Linked DNA regions of Drosophila melanogaster. The protein of the gene in region 3 interacts with the protein of the main gene of each other region in a pairwise test. Each region holds a gene or a part of one and is shown on either strand. Other genes may lie near its edges.

What was found.
Region 1: the proteins of CG18371 (region 3) and Mis12 interact in a two-hybrid assay, tested with the Drosophila melanogaster proteins (one large-scale study listed by BioGRID).
Region 2: the proteins of CG18371 (region 3) and PVRAP interact in a two-hybrid assay, tested with the Drosophila melanogaster proteins (one large-scale study listed by BioGRID).
Region 4: the proteins of CG18371 (region 3) and CG42559 interact in a two-hybrid assay, tested with the Drosophila melanogaster proteins (one large-scale study listed by BioGRID).

The regions. Positions count from the first base shown.
Region 1 is NT_037436.4:6,966,626-6,971,850, forward strand, and holds Mis12 (Mis12), read right to left. Parts: upstream 2,424-5,225; 5' UTR 2,310-2,423; coding exon 2,240-2,309; intron 2,177-2,239; coding exon 1,884-2,176; intron 1,772-1,883; coding exon 1,589-1,771; 3' UTR 1,410-1,588; downstream 1-1,409. Other genes in the region: CG10064 (uncharacterized protein), read right to left, coding at 1-695, 758-1,182; CG9953 (uncharacterized protein), read left to right, coding at 3,207-3,994, 4,056-4,194, 4,257-4,728, 4,801-4,928; CG10063 (uncharacterized protein), read right to left, coding at 5,033-5,225.
Region 2 is NT_037436.4:5,994,393-6,001,178, reverse strand, and holds the start of PVRAP (PVR adaptor protein), read right to left. Parts: upstream 3,972-6,786; 5' UTR 3,526-3,971; intron 1-3,525.
Region 3 is NT_033778.4:14,025,764-14,030,742, reverse strand, and holds CG18371 (uncharacterized protein), read right to left. Parts: upstream 2,124-4,979; 5' UTR 2,010-2,123; coding exon 1,677-2,009; 3' UTR 1,647-1,676; downstream 1-1,646.
Region 4 is NT_033778.4:23,599,026-23,604,658, forward strand, and holds CG42559 (uncharacterized protein), read right to left. Parts: upstream 1,763-5,633; 5' UTR 1,663-1,762; coding exon 1,580-1,662; intron 1,525-1,579; coding exon 1,414-1,524; intron 1,356-1,413; coding exon 1,289-1,355; intron 1,231-1,288; coding exon 1,033-1,230; 3' UTR 1,022-1,032; exon of another isoform or gene 932-1,021; 3' UTR 926-931; coding exon of another isoform or gene 855-925; exon of another isoform or gene 796-854; coding exon of another isoform or gene 732-795; exon of another isoform or gene 670-731; coding exon of another isoform or gene 523-669; 3' UTR 501-522; downstream 1-500. Other genes in the region: CG42560 (uncharacterized protein), read right to left, coding at 523-669, 732-795, 855-925; IM18 (immune induced molecule 18), read right to left, coding at 1,929-2,144; CG10332 (uncharacterized protein), read right to left, coding at 2,251-2,457, 2,526-2,595, 2,649-2,707; CG43209 (uncharacterized protein), read right to left, coding at 2,984-3,175, 3,232-3,298, 3,349-3,410; Eglp1 (entomoglyceroporin 1), read left to right, coding at 3,692-3,819, 3,875-4,277, 4,342-4,527; Eglp2 (entomoglyceroporin 2), read right to left, coding at 4,810-5,031, 5,368-5,633.

The DNA.
Region 1 (5,225 bases), on a different chromosome or scaffold from region 3:
TGATGCAGTAGACCGATTTGGTGTGGCACGTTCGCAGCAGCTTGAGCACCCAAGTCTTGATATTCAGCCCATAGATCTCGTTGGTGTCCGTGCAGATGTAAAACATGTCCGTTTTCGAGCGCACAAAGGACGAGATTCTGCCCGAAACGTGCGTCTTTTTCAGGGTGCGCAAATATGGCCATGTGGGTCCGGGATAATCGCGAAAGTTAATGAGCGGCACATCGGTACGCTCCTCCACCAGCTCTATATCACCATTTCCCGCTCCAATCAGCAGACGTCCGCCTTCCAGGACATACAGTGCACGCACACCATTCACATAACGATTGCAGTCCCTGCCCGTTGGCTTCCTGGGATTGTGGGTGCCGAAGGCTCCGAGGATGCAGCTGGTTGAGCCTTGTTTGCTCACATGATCACGATCGCAGCAGTTGAGCACGATCTTTACAATGTCCCCAGTTCCGGTGCCCAGATAGGCAAACTCATCCGTCTTATTGATGCGCGCACAGTAGAAAACCCGTGTCTTGCTGGCCATTAGGACATCCTGTACGTACAGCTTCTTCTCCTCACGCAGGATGCTCCACAGACGCAGATGGCGATCGCCGGCGGTCACAAAGAAGTAGGGATTGTTGTGCAACGGCCGGACAGTCAAGGCATTTCCAGAGATGGCCCTCGATGCGGGTGTTTGGCAAATGGGAGAGCTGTAATGGCAAACGAAGTCATTGAAGGAGTTCAAGCATGAGCTCTGATATGAACAACTTACAATGCCTCCATGTCGAAGACAATTACGGAACCATCATCCACGCCACCGATGGACACAACGCATCTATCCTGGGCAGTAAAGCAGATGGCCTGCACAGATACCTTGTGCAGATCGTGGCGAGCGATCTCCTTGCGCTGATCGTAATTCCAGATGATCACATAGCCGCGGAAGCCCATGTGATTGATCTGACCGGAGGCCATGTATTTGCCACTCTTGCTGAGATCCAGGCACGATATGGTGTTCGTGTGTCCGGCCACAAACTCCTGCGTATTCTTCTTGTAGTCGGCGATGCCGATTTTGTTGCCCAGCGCAAAGATGATGGATCCCGTGACCGGATGCTGGCGCACTCCATTCTCCACCTTGCCATTGATGCCGAAGATTGCGCGCGGCAGCAGCTGCCTGCAGACATCGTGCGAGTCTCCCATTTTTCCAGGCTTATAGCAAAATATACGATTCGAAATGTAACATATAAGGGGGTTTTTGTGTCTGTTCTGTGCTTGAAACTTTTTAACCGGCTTGTTTTCTGTTTGAAAACAAGGCAGTTGGAAAATTTAAACAGCGACCGTTGCTTGGTTGCCGCTGTTGTCAAAGGAACTAATATAATGCTAAGGTAAATTGGTTTAAAACTAGTAAGTAATCATCTAGGTGTTTCGGATTCATAATAATTTTAATTTAATTTAATTTTAAGTTTAAAACTAAGTTAACGACATAATAATAGGTAAAGTGGAATATAGAAGAGTCTTAGTGATTATAAATGACTCCAGGGTTAAAACTAGTTTCGAAAGAAGATATTGGAAATGTAGATTAAAAAACTTGATCCAGTTAGTTTATTTAATCAGTCTCCTTCTTTATCTGCAGGGGCACTTGATTCCAGAATTGCTTCAGCTTGGTGATGTTGAGGGAGGAGCAGCTTCGCTGCACGCGATCCTGCATTTCGATCTCCTTCTGGATGAGATCCTCCATGGCGGCGTACTTCTCCTCCTCGATCTTCAAATGCGCCAGCATGGCCATGTTCTGAAATTGATGTGATTTAGCATTATTAAAACATAAAATAAAGCATCCTTTTCCCCATTATAATGATTAAAATGAGGCATACAAGATAGTTTCCATTGGTTCTACAAGTTACCTCTCTGTATTTGGCCTTCAGCTCCTCCAACCTGGCTGTCTTCTGCTCCTCCTCTTCGCTGGTATACTGATTCTCGACGAACATGTGCTCCGGATGCAGCACATGCGGTGGAACGTGGAACACTTTGCTGTCCAGTTCCCTGAGGGCTTTTAGGCCCTTGGAGGCGGATGCCTGGAAACGACGCTCAACGGTCTCCTTCTCGGCTTCCAGCAATTCCGCTGTGGCGGGTGTCTTGATCTTGTCGATGATCTGACCAATACCCTTCTTAATTATGTCCTGCACAATATGTTCGCCTATTTAAAAGGAATTAATGGATAAAGGACGCTGATCCAGAGATATAAGGATGTAGCACTCACGCTCTGCAGACAACTGTGCCGCTGTGAAATTGAAGAACTTCTGATCGTAGGCTAGGCTATTGAAGTCCATTATGACAGTTAACAACAATATTTTTTTTAAATTATATTACAATTAAACTGGATAAAAACGTAAACAATCCAAATTGTCGCGCAATTAGTGTTACCGTTTTCAGAATACAAAGAGATGCTACCACAGCAACAGTGCTGCCATACTTAGCTACAAAATCTAGTTACTAAATTTGGCTACTTATAACTGACTATACAGATGAAAAATATAAAAACAACGCATACACATGCACAATTTCCTAAAATTTTTGACAAATACATTTATTAAGCTTTCGCATTAACGGCACAGTGAAACTCCACAATAATATTTACCTAATATATGGAATAATTCAAATAAACTATATGTTGTTTATTAAAGCTACCTAAAGCATTTGAAATTCAGGAAACTTCCATTAAATTAGTTCAGTGAGAATTTAAAATTACACGCAGATGGAAATTATCAAAGCATGCAAGAATGTATACTTTTCTTAATTACTTGACAAAAATTTTGCAAAACACGTTCACATTTACGGTGCTATTAAGCTCATCGATAATATCTAGCTAGGAAATAATATAAATAAATAAAAAGCTAAATTAAGTTTTGTAAAGTTACCAGAACACTTACAGCATACAGAAATCTTTCTCTGCTTAAAATTAAATTAATTCAATTAATGATTGAAATCAATAACTATGAATGCCCCTACTGTTTTAGTTTTGCTTTGCCGGCTTTGCGAATATAGATAATACAGCGAGAACTGAATAATCAGGAGAGTGCGACACACATAACGGTGCCTATATAAATAGAACACACCACTCTCCTTCAGTCGCTATTTACAGTTAGGCACTGTGCGAGGTTCCAACTAATTAAATACTTCAATTACTGGCAAATTCTACTTGACCCGAACAAACAAAGGAAGCAAATATGCTTTTCATTGGGGGCGTTTTGAGGCCCTTGGGAGTGGGTCTTCTGCTCCTGGGACTGCTTGCGCCCATTTCCGGAATGGGATTTCGACGCGGAAGGCTGACCAAGGGATTCCTCGGGGAGCCCAGCAAGATTCCAACCCTGCAAAGGAGCCTGCACTCGGAGGATCTGTGGTTCGAGCAGCGATTGGATCACTTCAAGTCGAGCGATAAGCGCACCTGGCAGCAGCGATACTTTGTGAATGCCGACTTCTATCGGAATGACAGCTCCGCACCCGTATTCCTGATGATCGGTGGCGAGGGCGAGGCGTCGGCCAAGTGGATGCGCGAAGGAGCCTGGGTGCACTATGCCGAGCACTTTGGAGCGCTGTGTCTGCAGTTGGAGCATCGTTTCTATGGCAAGAGCCATCCCACCGCTGATCTGTCCACCGAAAATCTGCACTATCTCAGCTCGGAGCAGGCTCTGGAGGACTTGGCCAGCTTTGTAACCGCCATGAAGGTTAAGTTCAATCTGGGCGATGGCCAGAAATGGATCGCTTTCGGTGGCTCCTATCCGGGATCGCTGGCCGCCTGGGCACGCGAGAAGTATCCCGAGCTCATCTACGGTTCAATTAGCTCCAGTGGTCCTCTGCTGGCTGAGGTTGACTTCAAGGAGTATTTCGAGGTGGTCAAAGCCTCTCTAGCTGCCTACAAGCCCGAATGCGTGGACGCCGTGACCCGCAGCTTTGCGCAAGTGGAGATTCTACTCAAGCACATGATTGGACAACGCAGCCTGGACGAGAAGTTCAAGTGAGTGGATTAGGCTATCGTCCTGCACAAATTTTAATTTTGTAAACCATTTTATACTCAGAACATGCACTCCCATCAAGGACTCCATTGAAAACGACCTGGACATGGCCAATTTCTTTGAGAATCTGGCTGGCAACTTTGCTGGAGTGGTGCAATACAACAAGGACAACAGTCCCCATGCCACCATCACCATTGACGACGTGTGTTTCATCCTCACTTTGATCCCTATCAAGTCCATACTAAGAATGTTTGAACTCCATAGATCTGCGATGTCATGCTAAACACCACGGCTGGTCCACCTGTGACCCGTTTGGGCCTGGTCAACGATATGCTATTGAAGGAATCGAACACCACCTGCCTGGACTACAAGTACGACAAGATGGTGGCGGACATGAAGAACGTTTCCTGGGACTCGGAGACGGCCAAGGGAATGCGCCAGTGGACATATCAGACCTGCCACGAATTCGGCTTCTATCAGACCTCGGATAACCCGGCTGACACATTTGGTGATCGCTTCGGTGTCGACTTCTTTATACGCCAGTGCATGGATGTGTTCTCCAAGAATATGAACGCCAAGTTCCTCAAACTGGTGGTGTCCGCCACAAATGATAACTATGGCGCCCTAAAGCCAAAGACCACAAATGTGTTGTACGTGCACGGTTCCATTGATCCCTGGCATGCTTTGGGCTTGGTCAAGTCCACGAACGCAGCACTTCCTACCATTTACATAGAAGGTATGTGCTTACCAACACATTTTTCACATATAACTTGGGTAATGTAAGCATTTATTGTGTTTTTTTTTTTAGGAACCGCTCACTGCGCCAATATGTATGAGCCGGTGAAAACCGATCCGCCACAACTGGTGGCCGCTCGCAACAAGATACTCAAATTCTTGGCCAAACTACTGGATGGCTACACCTCGGCGTTAATCTGATGGAAAAGTGGCCAAGTCAAGTGTAATTTTGTACTCGTCAGCGAGTTGTTTTATTTTTTGCTTTCGCATGAGTTTTATAATATATTTTTCGGCTCCGCTGGGAGTTAATCCTTCTTGGCCTGCTCCATTTTTTCGTGGAATCGCTTCCAGTAGTGCTGCACCTTGGCATTTTGAACGATATTGTGCTCGACAAAGTTGAGCAACCAGGTGGCGGTTAGGTAGGTCAAGTCATAGAAGAAGGCAACCACGCGAAAGAAATACTTTTCGGTCTGCTCCTTGCTAGGCAAGTTGGCCATG
Region 2 (6,786 bases), on a different chromosome or scaffold from region 3:
TGCGAAGTGCGTGTTCGCCAACACTCGTGGCTGAGCGCCTGTTCCGAAATATTCTCCGTGTGTGGGTGTATCGCACACAGACACAAGCCCACAGAAGCGATGTGCCGTGAATATGCATGTGTATGTGTGAGCGCCATGTTGCTGGCAACATTGAAATGGCAATTTTGGTGCCGAAATGTTGCCGAGCCGCTTGAAGTGCTGCCGAGTGTTTTGATAGCGGGCCAACTAAGCCCCAGAGATTTTACTCATATGCACACATCATCTCGGCAATTTTAAGCGGCTTACGACGACGATGATGCCGTCGCAGAATTTTCATTACTAAGCCAAAGGTGAATACCTCATACTCCGAATCATCCGCACAGAACGTTCGCCATTCTCCTCAAGTGCGCAGTCAACTTCAAAAGGCTGGCAAATTCTATGGGTTAGCGAAGGAGTCTCAAGGCAAACACAGATCAAATCTTATCGGGAATCATTTTATGAGCAAAATTAATACGCTTCAAGCCAACTGAAGCGGCTGAGCGACTGGCAAATTTGTAGACGTTTTGTTGTTGCCCAGGCAACTTGAACATCCCCATCCTCGACGAAAGGCAACAATATAATGAGCCAGAGCAGGTGGCAGGAGTGGTATCAAAAGATTGATACAAAAAGATATGCTTTGGCACTCGAAAAAATAAGTACTTTTAAGATAATATAAATATTTTATAACTACTTAATTGGAACCTTAGCATTGATGTTTTTCTTTCAATTCTTGAATGTTTATTTAGGAAATCATTTTTCTTTAAAATCCATATAATACATGAAGTTATGAATTTCTGTAAATATTTTCGCAGTGAAATAACGGGCTCACGGGCAACGACATCGTCATGGAAATTCTTCATTAACTCAACTCGGGCGCTGAGAGAAAAGAAGTTTATGTTATTAAGAACATGGAGGAGTGGGCGGAGAATGATGGCAATGGTTACTATCCGTGGCGGATGGGGGCGTGGCTAGGCTGTGAAGGAGGCAGCCGGAGCAGCAGCTGTTGTTGTAGTAAAATGTGTGTTTTACTTGACAAGAAAGAGATAACGGTAAATGAATATGCAGCAATTTGCACGCCCACATAATGAGTAGGGCGATGGTGGCGGAGAGAGGCATGGAGGGGGGAAGCGGTAAGGATACCGCCGGCGGGCAGAGACTGAAATAATAACAGCAGCAGAAAAGCAACAGCATCAGCCGCTAAACAAAAGTCGATAAACATAAACCAGGCAACGCAGACAAGCGCTGATAAGTGTGCTACACTTTCCACAGGAAACGGAAGGCGTGGGCTTGCATGTGTTTGCTTGTATTTGTGTGCGAGTGTGTGCGGGTGTGTGTGTGTGAGGCAAAAGTAAATTAAAACGATTTTAATTACGGTTGCCAAGACGATGAATGAAAATGTCAACGATGCCGGGCGACAGCAGGTGGGCGTGGCGTAGGCGTTCAAGGAGTGAAAGAGTGCGGAAAAATGAGACAACTCCTAAAAGCCTTTCGTTGTACCGCTTGCTGAGCAGCAGTGTGAATTATGGCACATGTACAAGGCGCTTATGCACCGAAAAAAACGAGGATCCTTTAATAAGTTTCAACAGTGATTTAAGCTACTACAAAATACTATTTTACAGTACACTTTAGGCCAACAAATACGTTTTGAATAAGAAGCCACAGGTTGACTTAATAACGAAATTTATTAAATGAAGTGCAAAACTTAAATTCATACATTTCCTGAATAAAAAAATTAAATCCCTTTTTTATAGTTTATCAAATCTGTATATGACAACTCTTTTTCATTCGTGTACGTATGTGCCAGTGAGTGGAATAAAAGCAGATTTTCATTTAGACTCTGTTTTGTTGTCTTTAGCTACTTGACAAGAGCCAGAAGCCAAAGTCACTGCCAAGAGCAACACCAGCAAACTTTAACAAATAAACGGGTTTTCAGGAAAAAGGGAGAAAAATGGGGAAAAATAGAAGTAGGAGCAGCAGTCGCTTCTAGCTCAAACAAACAAGCTCCATTTTTATGAGGCTCTTTTGTCTGAGGCTGCTATTCCGCCTTTTTTCCCCTAACTTTTTTTATACCTTATTAACGCTCGCTCACTCGCTTGTTGAAAATGAAAAGTTTTCGTTGCGGGCGTGAAATTTTTTTTTTCCCACAACCGAAAAAAACAAAGATGGAATGCTGAAAAGCCACCGAAAAAAAGGAGAGCAGAAACCATGGCTTGCTGATTAACTTGACACGGCCAAGAGCGGCGAGGGAAAAGTGTCGCGGAAAAGCGGTGGGTGGTGAGGTGAAAAATTCGCGGTTCGTATGCAGCTGACAGGCAGCACCTGTCGCCGCTGCGGAAGTGTCGACTGCGAATACGAATGCGACTGCGGCCAACAAACCGCCGCTTGACATTTCCTTGGCGACGCTTTTCAAGGAAAATGTTGCTGGCTTGGCGAGGGGTTCGGAAAACGTGGTGGGCGTGGGGCGGTGGAAGGACGCTGCGGTGGCCTTGTGTATCTTATTTTGTGACTGCATTTAAGTGCATTTTTATGCCACAGATTTAAGTGTAAGCCAGTGGATTGCCAAAGTTTGTCCAGGGGTTTATCTTCATTAATTTCCGCAGTGCTTTTTAATGCAGCAGAACTTCATATTAACCCCAAAAGTGTGCTGTGGCAAGTAATTCGACTTGGGCGCTTCTTTATAATCGTGCCATAAAATCGACAACAGTTTTTAACGGACGCGTTCTGATTGGATTCCTTCTTTTAAACTGCTAGCATTGCTTTAAGTTTTACCATATCCTAAAAAATCAGTATTTATAAAAGTAAAGATCATATTCTTATCAACGAAATCTCATTGCTGAATTCAGAGAAAACCAAAAGGTTTCTTTAATAAAAAAAGGTCTTTAAAAGCAGTCTTTCAAGAGCAGTACATTCCATTGAATTGGCATAGTTTTATATTACTTTATTCACACCGAAACGTTTTTCTCGGGCATGCTCGCGTGCATTTCAACGCCCCGAGGAATTTAAAGTTTTTCGGAAAAGCTGATACACTTCACTCCAAACATGTTGACAGCTTAACAGGAAGTCTGCCCCAAGAAGTACGGCGACACCCCGAAAAAAGTTGATTCCTATCCTTGGAGCCCGTTGCACCCCCATTTGCCGCTGATAACTTTAAGCCGAACGAGGCCAGAAAGTGTAGCAGCTTTCGTGGCAAAAGTTTGCAATGCATTTTGATGTGCAGCCAAAGTGCCAAAAGGTGGCAAAATGCAGAGGGGGGAAAACTCTCTGCGAATAATTATATAGAGAAGATGAAAGGACCGGAGGCAGCGAAGCGAAACAAGAGCCTATGCAATTCTTTCAAGTCAAGGCTACTGACCTTTTTAACACTGTTTGTCAAGGATGCAAAGGGCCGACTTTGATCCCAACAAAGGGATAAAATAAACCCAAATTGACCAACAAACAAGACTTGTATATCCAAAGGATATTTAGGATGTGGAGCCAATAATGAAATTTGTCGTGTGTCCCACTCACCTTAGTATCAATTTTTGGCGGCAATTTTCGTTATGTTCACGACCTTTATTTGCGTTTTCGTCTTATTGCCACAATAATCCAAAGGAAAACTGGCCAAAGTTTTCGCATAAAATTCAATTACGATTGTGAACTCATAAATCGCAACACTTGGCCGCGTTTTACGATTACGTCTTTTGATTTCGAGCACGGAAAGTGTGAAACTTTTTTGGTTAACGCGGCTACTTTGTTATCACTGTTATCGGGCCACGACTCTGGCAATAAAATTACCCCGTCGCGTCGTTAAAAGTTAAACGACCCTTTGTGCTAAACTGGGGGATTTGTTAAGTTTTTATGACTTTCGACGAATTTCGGACAATGTTGAAGTTTTGGGCATCTGCCAGTTGTATACGGTTAGGTGCCTTTTTGGGGCAACCTTTGCAGTTGAAAGCGCGCAAGGAACTGTTTATCCTGGCCCCATGTGCTGGCATTTTTGTGCTAAGCCCGAAACTTGGTATCCTGCCACGAAACTTGGCATCCACAACAGCGCATGCGCTGGATTTCCTCGGAATGTGGATGTCTGGAGTGGGACAGGACCTTTCCAGTCTGCATTCAACTGGTGGTTGGCTTGCCAATCGAATCCTCAAAGAACTGCCATATGTGCATGGTTGTCGTGACAACTTGATTTTCTCATAAGCTAACGGTTTCTCATTTCCTACTGCCATGAATTTGATAAGATTTTATTACGATTTTTGCCGGTGGCAACCTTTGATGCGCCCAAACATCCACTAGTTTGAAATCCGAAGCTGATCTAATTATGCGACCGTTTAGCAGTGCATACTTTTCAGAGACTTAAAAGAGGGCCGGTAAACATCTGAAAAGGAGAAAGGACTGTCGAATGACATTAGGGCAAATCCGCTTACAGATGCGGAGATGAGATGAAGATACGGAGGGTCGTCCATTGTTTATGCAAGCGCATTAAGCTGAGGCTTAGCTAAGGATACACTGACTACTCGGCATGGAGATGCAGATGGGCAGATGCGGATACTGAGATACTGAGAAACAGAGATACAGATACGGATTTAGATACAGTAGCCCAGCTCACACCCACAAGCAGCAGCGACATGTTGCGGTTTTGCGAGCAGTAGATTGACCTGGCCAAGAAGCCCAAACAAAACCGCATGTTGCAGGGCGTGGCGGCATCTTAAAGCAGTCCGAATCCAGCTGCAAAATTTGAAACTGAACACTCAAAACTCACAAATGAAGAACCTATGGATAAATCGAAAAGTCAGCGATGCGAAGTTGAACTCATTAACGGCAGTGAGTGGAAAGTCGTTGTCATGTAATCCAATGCCGTGTACCAAATTGGAATCTCGTATTTCTCATAGATACACGGCGATACGTGCACACGTATAAAAAGGACTAATAAAAGGAGGAAAAATCAACTAAGAAAAATGGAAACTCGCGTGGATATTTCGTGATTTTCCGTCTGTAAGCGCCGGCGTGCAATCTTCTTTTTATATGCCATCCATTTTATTGTTTATTTACAGCATTGTTTAGTAGCATATATCCGCGTGTATATATACATAGATACTAGTATATTCCCCAGTCAGCGTTGATTTAATGGCTGTAAATTGAAATGGAATACGCGAAAAATGGAGAAAAATGTTGGGACAGGTGAGCTGAGTTGATTTGGCAGAAATATATTTATTGAAAAAGTTGTCAGAAAAGAATTTAAAAGAATAAAACTTTGCGGATTGAAATTTGCATTTCACAGTTGTACGCCGGCTTACGTCAAACATTTTCTATCCTTTATGGATTTTATTATGTATTTTAAAAGCCTAAAAAGGCTTTTTTTCTTGCATATTTCACGAAGAAAAAGGGAAAACAGGTGGTTAAGAAAAGTTCCAAATTTATCTATCGGCTTTTATCCTTTGCCTAACCATTTAAAGGAAACCCAACTTCTGGTTGCCAATTTCTGTTTATCTTTCTTGTATCTTTTCCTCGTTTTGCTTACATTACGAGCGGAAATTTGATTTGTTTCTGATAAATGCCATTTATTTTACTTGTTTAAGTCCTCCCACTCGCTTGCCCCTAACTTTCCATGAAATTCAATTGCCAAATTGATTCAACTTTTTCCCCTCGCTGCAAAAAGCCATGGAGCTTCGCGTTGAGCCGCAGATAATTGAATGATTTGAATTTGTATATTGAATTTGGCTTTATACATAGCTGAACACGCCCATTTTTCATTTAACGCCCACCACCCGGCCTTTCATCATATTTGGCAGTTTGGCAGTGCGAAATTTTTGTTCATCGTGTTGCGTGGGATTTTTCTATTAAAATGGAAATTGTAGGCGAATTGGAAAATTGCTTATCAATTGACGGGGGGCATATGCTTCAAGGATCAAACGGAGGCTAAAATTGATTTCCCTAGCCGCCACCATTTTCCGATGACCCCGCGCACCCACGCCCCGTTTATGCTGCAATTAAGTATAAAATTAAGTTTTTCCCTTGCCAGCGAGCTTAATTGAGTTGTATGTGTGGATTTCATTCCCATGGAATTGGGGTGAATCCCTCTTGGAATTTAATTTAATCCACTGAAGCGTTACGCCGCCAGAAAATGCATGGCGAATTTTTTTCCGAATATTGCGCTGCCTGCCTTCTTTTAATTGTTTGTTACATGGGAATTAAAGACAACTGCCCGCATGATGATGTAACCATATCGATGGAGGGTGCACATATATGTATACATAATGATCTCCCCAAGCAGACGAAGTGTCTAAGAGCGCTCCTTTCTAGACAGACATGAAAAGGAAACCCTGGGCTGGCTAATGGCAAGGTGCTCTCGAGCTCCTTTGTTGCCAAAGAACAAAAAACACAACTATTACTTATTGGTTCGTGGAATGCAACTAGAACGGCATAGAAACCCTCTCTCAAGTGCCACTCCACATTTCGACCTTTGTTTCGCAATCGAGTTTCGATTCAAAAGCAATACAAACACGCACTGCGGGTGCCACTTCAACCGGTCGAAATGGGAATAGGAATGGAATTGGAAATGCTAGAATCGTTTGAGAAACTGCGTCACCATAAATTGTAATTACCCAGAATTCACGCGACCCACAGTCTCAGGAAGAGGAAAAAAATATAAAGTGTCAAGGGGCGTGTGCAGCGACACTTCGCCGACCCCTCCCCACATTATTTTTTTTGCCGCCCGCTGGTACCAGGTACCGCCCGCCGACTAACGGTCTATATCTATGTGCGTGACTAGCGGTGGACTACCGAGCG
Region 3 (4,979 bases):
AGGAATCACTCACAAAAATCCAAGTGAGTCCAGTGAGTCGAGTGAGTCGTGCGAAGCGCTCTTTATCTCGCATTTTTAGCTCGTTTATAAGGCAACGACACCGGCCGGCTGAAACTAGTTAAGGCCACACCAGCAACCCTCTTCGCTCGCCCCAGCCTCTCTGCCACGCCCCCTTGCCTCCTCTCTACAACAACACTCCTCTCGCCCCCCTCTCTTCACACCGCTTACAGCTTAACCTATAAAAATTCCGCAAACCCAACATCCACAAATGGGAACACTCCACCCCACTCCGCATGTGAAAATGTTCTTTTTCAGCTCTCTCGGAAAATCTGGGCGCCTGTTACACACGCAACGAAGTTGCCAACACAACCTCACATGAACGCACACACGCGACTCGAAGCTGTTGCTGTTGCGGTGATGTTGCTGCCGCTGCGTTGATGTTGCTGCTGCTGCTGCTGCTGCTGTTGCCGTTGGTGTTGCCGCTGTGTCAGTGCCGTTCATTTGTTTGATTTTGTTGTGATTATGCGCAGTGCTTCGGCGGCAGAGACGCCGGCAGTGACGCCATCGCCCGAGCAGTGGCAGTGGCGGCGTCGTGGTAGTCAGCGACCCATGGAGGGCATTTGGGGGCGCAACAACAACAGCTACAACGCCAACAGCTAGGCGCGCTGGGCAACTGGATTCTCGCTCCGAGTTACGAGTTACACTTGGACAACTCGAAAATGTGATAAGACATGCATGTGGCACTTTGATTTCAATCCGATTTTGATTTAAAACCACACGGGTTTAAATCGGAATAAGCATCATCAAATTCGGAAATATGGTATTTACAAACAGAGTTACACTTAATATTACTTAGTATATTACTTAAGAAACCAGCTTGCACTTTTCTAACAGCAGGCTAACACATGTAACTGTCAATAATGAAATTCGGAAACAGTACAGTGAACTTTCCAACACTTGAAATCTTAACTTCCTATGCAATAAATGCATTCGTTGAATAGACAGCGGATTACGTACATATATGTATACGTATAATTCATATATATATATCTACCGTTATTCTCATAACAGATAACATTTACCCAAAAATGCATTTCAAGGCATTTCCTTCCGCCTTGAGAAGTCACGACTTACTAGATTTTCACCTTCAATCAAATAGTCAATCTGTTCTTGTTCAGCGCACTGCGATAAATATTTGTGGCTCTCTGTTGTTATTCTAGATTTTCCTTATAGCCAGTATTGTCTGTTGCCTGTTGGCTGCTGTTTGTGTGCCGTAAAAACTCATTGCCAGTTTGGGGCGTCGCTCAACTGGAAATGTGGCCAAGCCGAGGCTAAAACTGAAGCTGAAGCTGAAGCTGCAGGTGTCTGTCTAACCAAGTCATCTCACATATATATATATATACATATGTACATATATTTACTTTGTAGATACATATATTAAAATAAGTACATAGTGGATGTGCCAGCCTCCATGTAATTGCGCTGAGCATTTCTTTGTGCGGCTTAATTAGTGGCTGGCAGCAGCCTGTTTTTCATTTTAGAGGTTTATAAATGATGCTCGCAGAAGCACAACTGGGCTCCATTCGTAGGCAGCTCAATTTAAAGGTCCAAACAAATAGTTACAGCAAATACACAGTTCCAATTTTCGGTAGTAGACTACAAGTCTAAATTCTTTATTAAATGGCCTTTTTCGTTGCTGCCACATTGTGGTAGCGAATCGAGAATCGGCTAAAGTTGTGCGAAGTGATCTCCTTGGTGGGCGTGAATTCCGCCCGCTCGATAATCGAGCGCGGACTGCCGATATTCAGTAGCCAGAACTTCAGCACGTTGACCTTGGGCAGTGTGCCCTCCAGCTGTCCCTTCACCGTGCCCTCGTCCGTGTTCATCACCCACCCGCGCACCTGGTTCATTGTGGCCAGATCTCGTGTCTGCTTCCGCAAACACACACCCTGTACTCGCCCGAAGAGTTCGAATCCGCAGGAGAAGATCTGTTCCGCTGGCTGCATCATCTTCAATATGCTTCGTTTTTTCTAGAAATAACTCCAACTTATTGTCGATCGAGAGAGAGATAGAAACAGAAACTCCACTTGTTGAAATTTAGTTGATTTTTGTCAGTGTTCGTTACAGGAATGTCGCAAGCTCCTAGATTCCCTTAAGCAGTTAAGTGTTTCCTTTCGGAATGTGCGCTCTGCAGCACAGTGAAACCCAAATAATGTTAACACAAGCAAAACTTGCTAAAATTAAATGTTAAACTACTGGGTGTCAATGATATCGCCATTATGTGCTTAAATTAAAATCGACGAAAGAAATAGGGAGTTTACGTTGGAAAAAGGAGCAGTGTATCGGCGAGAGCGCTAATGACATTGTATCTATTGTATATCCATAGCGTATAGCGTATCCCATATCAGCACTGGGGACTCATAAATCACTTGCCACACTCATTCGCACACACGCACACATTCACATGCGACGCCAAGTTCATCTCATGGCAATCCAATCAACTGGCAATGCCACAAAAGTTTGCAACCACCAAACCAGAGCCGAAACCCTCCCCCCCCCTTGTTCCTCTTGCCAGCAAGCCTCCTTCCTTCCCCCTTCCCCCTTCCCCTTCCCCTATGGCCCATGGACACATGAACACCCCCCTCGAAAATGGCAAAACACCACCTATGGGCAGCGCGAACAATAACTAGCGAGATAAACAGACAACATTCGGCGTTAATGCAAACGCGAAACGCCGACATCGCAGGCGATACTAAGGCAAATATTTAATACGATATTTATGGCCTAGGCACAGGATCAAGTGCAAGCGGGATGGGTAGACAGAAAGAGACCAAAAGGGAGAGCATGGGGAAATGAGGTCCTTTGAGCCAAGGTATTTGCAAAAGATGCCTGTGATAAATGACTACAGTTACAAGTACTCGTCCGACAGCTTCCAGAAATTGGTTTCCCGATGACTACATAAATTATACTTTTTCACAATTATGTCTAAGGTTTGTAAGGAAGACTATTAAATATTAACGATACGATATATTCTCTAGAAATTAACTGCTTTTCATTCTTCCACCCTGACGTTAGCGTGCAACCGAAAAGATTTTCCCCCTTTACCATCTACATTTTAAGAAACCAAACGTGTACGTATGTTGAAATGGCCCTAAAGCTGTCAATTTGGTTAAGCGAATTTAAAAGTTTTCGCAAAGTGGAACCAAAGGCTTCCAATTTGGCCGGCACACTGTGGCCAATCCAACTCGAACTCCGTTCGTCGTGTGCCCATTCAAATGAAACACAGCACGAGCCTCGGGTTCGTTTCGAGTTTCAGGTTGGATTTCAGGTTGAGACCGCCACCGACGTCTCCATCGAATTCGCAGTTCCGTCGCTGCCTCCGTCGACGTCCGTTCGATACTGTTGTTGTTGCTGCTGCTGCTGTTGTTGTTGTTGCCGTCGAGCCGAAGGTGAGCAAGCCAAATCAAACAAACCGAAGCGCAGCAAAAAAAAAAGTACGTTGAAACGCTTGAAGGGACTTCGCATGCCTCGCCGTTGGAGCTACGAACGAACGGGTATATATGTTTGTATGTACATGTAGGCATAAGTATAGGTATCGGTATATCTATAGATACTATAGCTCATGCTGTTGCTGCCAGAAACTGCGCTTCAATTGCGACAGCAGCAACAACAACAACAACAGCAAGTCGGTAAACAAAACTCAGCTTCTCCGAAGGCAAACTGCGTGAAGTGGGAGAAAGAGAGCCACCAGCAGCTAAGAGAGAAATTGTGAGAAATTGAGTGATCTTGCAGAACGGATAAACACCAGATAAGCAAGGCTAACAGGGAAAATTCAACTGCACTTAATCACTGATATCAACAAAGGGGGTTTCTTTAAAGATCAATTTTGTATATAAATATATATATATACATAAAGTGGTCATACCAAAAAATATGTATTATTGTTATTAAGTTATTTCCTTGTGGTCTTGATATCATCTTTATAGATTAGCTGATTTTCATAGTTGCAACATATTTCTTGGATTTTGAAGTTTCAGTTTCTGTTTAAAGTATGAACACCATGCTAATACTGTTTTCAAATACCTAAAAGTCAAAGCATTTTCCTATCGTTTCGTTCAAAATTTTTATTGTTCAGAACGTTTGGCCGCCAAGCCAAACGGCGCCAAGCACACACACACACACACACACACACACACACACACATTAACACAAATCAAATCGGAAAAGGCGAAACAAAAATAACAACAACTTGGAACAGCAACAACAACGTCAGCGCCAAGAACAACAATTAAATCGAATTGGAAATTAAAAATAAAAAAGTACAGTACTCGGTCTGTTTCAAGCCCACAGCGTTTTCCCCACCGTTTCTCCAAATTGAATTGAAATGCAAACGAAAGCTAAATACTAAAATTAGCTTAATATAATGTAAGGCAGACAGGGCAATAACAACAAGTGAATAGAAAATCAAAGCGAAGCATATAAAACGGCGATAATTCAAATGCAAAATGTAAACACTTCAAAGCCGCGCGACGGGGAAAGCGGTCGGAAAAGCGGAGGAAAAGCTGGGAAAAATACAGCTACAGTGGCATAGGAAAATTGGAATAATAAGAGAAAGAAGTCGAATGGCTGCGGAGTTCAAAAGGGGAGTGCTTGGGTGAGCAGCAGAAACTCGCACTACGAAGACTTGACTTGGCCTCTAATATCTCACTCACTCACGCACACACGCACATTAAATTGTTTACGCAAATGACAAAATTATTATGCAGTGCAGGGAGAAAAATGATGGCCTCTAAACGTAGTAGATATAAAAAATAAAGCCCAGATGGTAATATATTAACGGATATTAAAACGATATTCTAATTATAAATCTGATTTATACTCATTCCAATCTGATTTATCTTGAATGTCAGCGGATTCTCGAGAATCCACTCAGAATAGGGTTAAGCACACTCAATCGCTGAGTTGTCCCACGCTGCGTA
Region 4 (5,633 bases), 9.6 Mb from region 3:
TTTTAGTTCGTATGGGAACCACTCTCTCCAAGTTGCTCAACTACCACAAATGTATTGTACTTACGTTCTTGACCTCTGCTACCCCACAACTAACGATTTGAACGAACATGAAATGCACACAAGATTATTTTTCATAGTCCTAAGAGAAGAACCTTATATATGTCAATGCATCATACACAATCGGCAGTTGTCTCTGATTTTGATTCTTACTTGAACTTGTATTTATTTGTATCTTTGTATAGACTATGTTGATATATATATGACCCTATATATGTTTGTTTCAATGCCATATTACATGAAAGTTCTTTTTAATTCATATTTTCCGTTTGCGCTGCAAAACAAATTGTTACCATATATAATATATGATATGTATGTACCCTACGTATAAGCAGGCTTGAAGAAGGCCGCCAACTCGGCTTCAGTTGTCGTAGAAGACTTCTTTGTAAAGCGTGTAAATGAGAGATACAAATTATTTTAAATAAAATACAAAACAAAACAAGCAAATGTTTCAGCTACACTTTATTAATTTTGTTCATGGTTCATCTGTGAGCCTTCGGTCTTGGTTTTTTCCAACGATTGTATCTGCTTATCCACCTTGATGATCTTTGTTGTGACTTCGTTCTTCTGGCTGAGAATCTTTTCTCGCAACGACTTCAGCTGTTCCCGTTGCTGGGTAAATTTGCAATTAAATTTAAATAGATTACTTTCGTTTTTTGAGATCACAAACCAACCAGTTTAAGGAAATGTATGTTCTCCTCCGCCCTGGCTTTTTCGAACAAATGCTTGGATATGTTCCTGGATACAGAGATGCATCTAATAAGCGAAGCCATAAGTGCTCAGAACACGGAACTCACTTGTTGGATTGTGAAAACTGACACATCCTGGGTCGCAACAGTTGGAAAAGCTTTTCGACCAACTTCAGCATTGTATCCTTACGGAGGAAGATAATTTGGAATTTACTATAGTAACTGATGAGGTATTTCAAGGTGGAATATTGACAAACTTAAAAGTGATAGCCTACCGTTTGATAGGTCATTTTTCGAGACTCTTTTTGAATTGCTCCAACAAATCCTTCAGAGCTTTCAATTCCTTTAGCAGATTCTCCTTGTGTTTCCTTGATTTGTGGCTAGTTTTGGATTCCAAAATCTTGATCTCCTCTTTCAATTTGACGATATCATTGGCGATTTCTTTAACCCTGTTCTTTTTTATCTTCATAAATTGCTCTGAGGCCTATGGAATACCCAATTCTACAAGGTTATTCACAACATTAAATAGTTTCGATACATACAAGTTTGAGAACATAGTTAAGTTCCTCGCCTCTGCCCTTCTCGGAAAATTTGTCAGTGAATTGACGTCTATCATATGTAAAAAAAAAATTATTTTTACGGGTCATTTGAATAATAAAATACTTACTTAGCAGGAAATTCGTTTAAATTATTATTCGACCTTGGGTGGAAAATGTTTCTACCGTGGTAAAAGTTTCTATGCCTTGGTAAATTTCTGTGCAACTCATTGGAAGGCCAACTAATATTTAGAAGATTTACAAATAAAGTTTGGATAAATTTCCAGTACTACATACCAAACTCTTTCTTGACATAGCACCTGAGGTTGAAATAGCCTGTTGCACGATGCCGAGCCTAAGATTCGTGCAACAGGAAACATGGCTTCTTAAGTTTAGGATAGAACGAAATCAGTGTGGCAGAAATACATTTTACAAGTCTGAAAGTACAATGTGGATATTTGACGTACGGTCAAAAGCAACTACTTCGATATGAAATTTAGAATTTGCAATAAATTTAGAAATAATTATTACGCATTTTATAAATAGTAAGCAGATGTGTATCAAGGCCATTTCATAAGTAAGATAAGGAAACTGGGCGATTAATTTAGTTTAGGCGTTTCAAATCTTTATTGTTTCATTCTTTACGTCAGGCGTACATAGTCTTCGATGGTTTCCCAATCGGAGCGTCGTAGTACAGTGGTCGTTGCTGTGAGCTTGGAGACCTGAACGGATTTCCGGACCCAGCTCCAGATCCCGATCCGTTTCCTGGTCCAGTGTGGCGAGATGGCGAGGCGACGCCGGGAGCAGCTAGGAAGCCCAGGAGGCCCAAAAGGAGCAGGCAGCACAATGCGATCAGCTTCATGGTTGGCAATCTCAAGTGAATCTGAATGCCGACCTCCGGCAATAGCTTGTTTTTATACGCTGCACTCGTATGCCCTTGGGATTGGGAAGCACCCGGGGGGATTTTGCTATTCGCTGAAATCACCGACTTTGGGTGATTTCTTATCAGCTGGGGGGCGTCGATCAGATTTTCTCTCCTTCCTCTCGCGATTGGAATTCACCTTCACATCGAACTCCATGCCACGGATGCAGCGGGTCAGGTCGGTTAGATTGGCCTCGACGCGCTTTTGCTTGAGTGCCAGCTCATGGGATTGCAGATCCAAGATTCCGCGTTCCTGACGATGGGATTTGATTAGATGGCGCTCGATTTTTGTATCATCTATCTTGAAAGGTAACAACTTACTGTTTGCAGATCCTCCAGTTTTAGTTGATTTTCTATGCGACTCTGATCGGGCAGGACAACCAGATAACTTCTATATATCAAAATGTTATGATTGAATATGTATAATCACAGAATGCAACCTACCTGATGGTGCAGCCTCTGAAGCGGCTGAGAATAGATCTGATTATTGGGTTAATGTCCATGCTTACGAAAATGAAAACAGCTAATTTTGATTATCTCTAAAAGTTTGAAAGTAATTGCAAAGTGTTGAAGATACTTCAAACTGGCAAACTGCTGATATGGAGCTGAAATTCTGCATATAACCACATTTTATAGTTATCTCATTCTTCGCTATGCCAAAAACTATGCTACGCATTCTTGCTGTCCCATAGGTGGCGCGTTGGTTACGCATGTCAAATGTAAAATTACCATCGCCCTTGCCAGTACAAACAAGTTGTTGCAATCATTTAGTTTTATGTTTATTTATTCATTCTTATGTTTCGGAGGGCTTGTTTCAACTCTTTGAGCACTAATATAAGTTTACCCCTCGCAGTCTTCGCCTCGGACGACTTACTTTTCTCAAGGGCTTTGATTTGCATTTCAAGTGACTCGATTTGTGCGGTCAGTTCCATGATCCTTGCCTCTTTTCCCTTGTTCCCCTGCAAATGTTTCTTGGAGGTAAACGTTCTTTATGAGTCATTGAAATGTTTAGTTAGGAGATACTCACAACATGATACGTGTCGATACCGCCACTGCCTCCTTTGTCAAAAAGATCGCTAAACGGTCGTCTCTTGCTGCATGGAAATTGTGGATTTAAGGGAACTCACATTGCGGACGTACTTACCATAGAAACATGGTATCTCTTGTCTTTAAAAAAGTAAGAATCTTATAAGCCCCCCGAAACATACTTTAAGCTCTGCGTCAAATTTGTGTACTTATGCTTTTTTCGTTAATAAGTTTCTCCACGCCAACTAGGTGAGGCAAAAACACATTCAAAAATGGCTAACAAATGATCCAAGTAAACCTAACCCCTCTTGCTTTGCGAATATATTTGTTAAACATTTCCAATATACGAATTCGGTAGGAGAATCAATACTCAGACATACATAGTTAGTCAGTGATCATTTAGTTAGTTAGTTTTTTCCTTAAATTGTCTGTGATACATTACATATTACGGATAATTCACGATGATCTGGGACTTCTTTACCTTTATACGCGGAGCCACCGAGTTCAGTGCCACTGCGCTACTGATTTTGCTCGGTTGCATGGGAGACTCAACGAACCAAGGTGGTGAGAGCAAATTCTTGGTGGCCAGGTGATGCTTAGTGAGATTTCTATAATAGAATATTGTTAAATACTCTATCGTATAGCGTTCACTATGGCCTGACGGTGATGGTGGTGATGCACGTGTTTGGCTTCGTATCCGGAGCCCATTCGAATCCATGCATCTCGATCTCATGCTACTTGATGGGCTACATCGCCCTGGAAGTGATGATGATGTACGTGGTGTGTCAGATGGCCGGTGCTTTCCTTGGTTACTTCCTGCTAATGCAACTGCTGCCCAAGGAGCTGGTGGACAAAAGCAAGCCAGGCATTTGCCTGGTACAACCGATGGACACTCTGTCCACATACCAGGTCGTCATCATCGAGTGCCTGCTGACCGCGGTCCTCGTGCTCGGATGGTGCTCCTTGTGGGACGTGCGAAACGGAAGGTTCCTCGACTCGGTCGCCATTCGCATGGGTCTCCTCGTGATCGCTTGCAGTTTCGCAGGGGTGAGTTGAAAGGCTTTGGATTTTGTATCTATAGATACTATAGCTATATATGCATTTATTGCAGATTCAACTAACTGGAGCCAGTATGAACCCCGCCAAGACATTGGTGCCTGCCATATTCTACGGCAGTCCGAATTCGGTTCTAATGCAGCTGACTGGCCAGATCCTGGCCGCCATCATGGTGCCCTTCGTGTGGAATCATGCGTATACGCCACCTTATAAGCCCTTGGAAATTCCAGTGTGCAACTGAGCTGTGACAATAAACATAAGCTCGACGTTTTTGGCTACCGTGTGGCTTATTTGATCAAGTGTATGAGCAATTAAATATTAACGATAAGCAGTTCGCCGTGGCGTAAAAATAATCTGGCTTAGATAAGCATAGCATTTACATTAGATTAAATATATAGTCGTCAGGCGTTGGAAATTATTTAAGCTATTTATTTGCACGCTTCGCAACTTAAAACTATCCGCTCTCTCCGCTCTCACGAACACGAACTTAAACGATAACTTGTCCTATGTGTAGTAAATCCATTTAGGCGAGCTCCGCCTCCGAGGTCCTCTTGGTTGACATCGTCGTCTCGTCCACCTCCGATTCCTCCAGCTCCCGCCGGAAGGCGTGCTTGTAGATCACCGAGGTGATCAGGGCAGCCGCCATGGGACCCACCCAGTAGATCCAGTGGTCATCCCAGAATCCGTTCCAAATGGCCGGAGCAAAGGATCGGACTGGATTCATACTAGCCCCAGTCAGTTGTCCCTGTTGGGGGATTTACAATTGTTTATTAAGAACATTTTTTTGATACCTATTGATTGCATTTCATGGGATGGCTAAAATGTCTATATTAAAAGTGTATATATGCCATTTAAAGAAAGGTTATCATCGATACCGAGAAAGTCAAGTGCATTTGCCTGATAAATTGAAAACAGATAGTGAATGGAATTTTAGCATAGCGGATCGTCAATTTGATATTTCTTAAGAGCAGACAGTCTTATCTGTATCGGTATTACTTGGACAAACAGACATTAAGGTGGATTACAAAATAAGATATATCTAATACTGTATCTGAATTATTCCGAACAATAATCAACTTACCGCTGTGAGCGACAGGCATGCGATGGCCAGACCAAATCGCACTGGCAGCGAGTCCTGCTTGGTGGCATTGCGGGGATCCCAGACGCCGCAGCACACGGAGATGAGGACGCAGGTGATCAGGAACTCCACGGCCAGTCCCTGCCATGGGGTCAAGGTGCTGTTGAGCGAGGTGAGGCAGACGCCATTGGGGTTCTCAGCGCTGTAGATGGCGCTCTCCGGGAGCACCGCCTTCAGCAGGCCGTAGCCAATGAAGGCGCCCACCATCT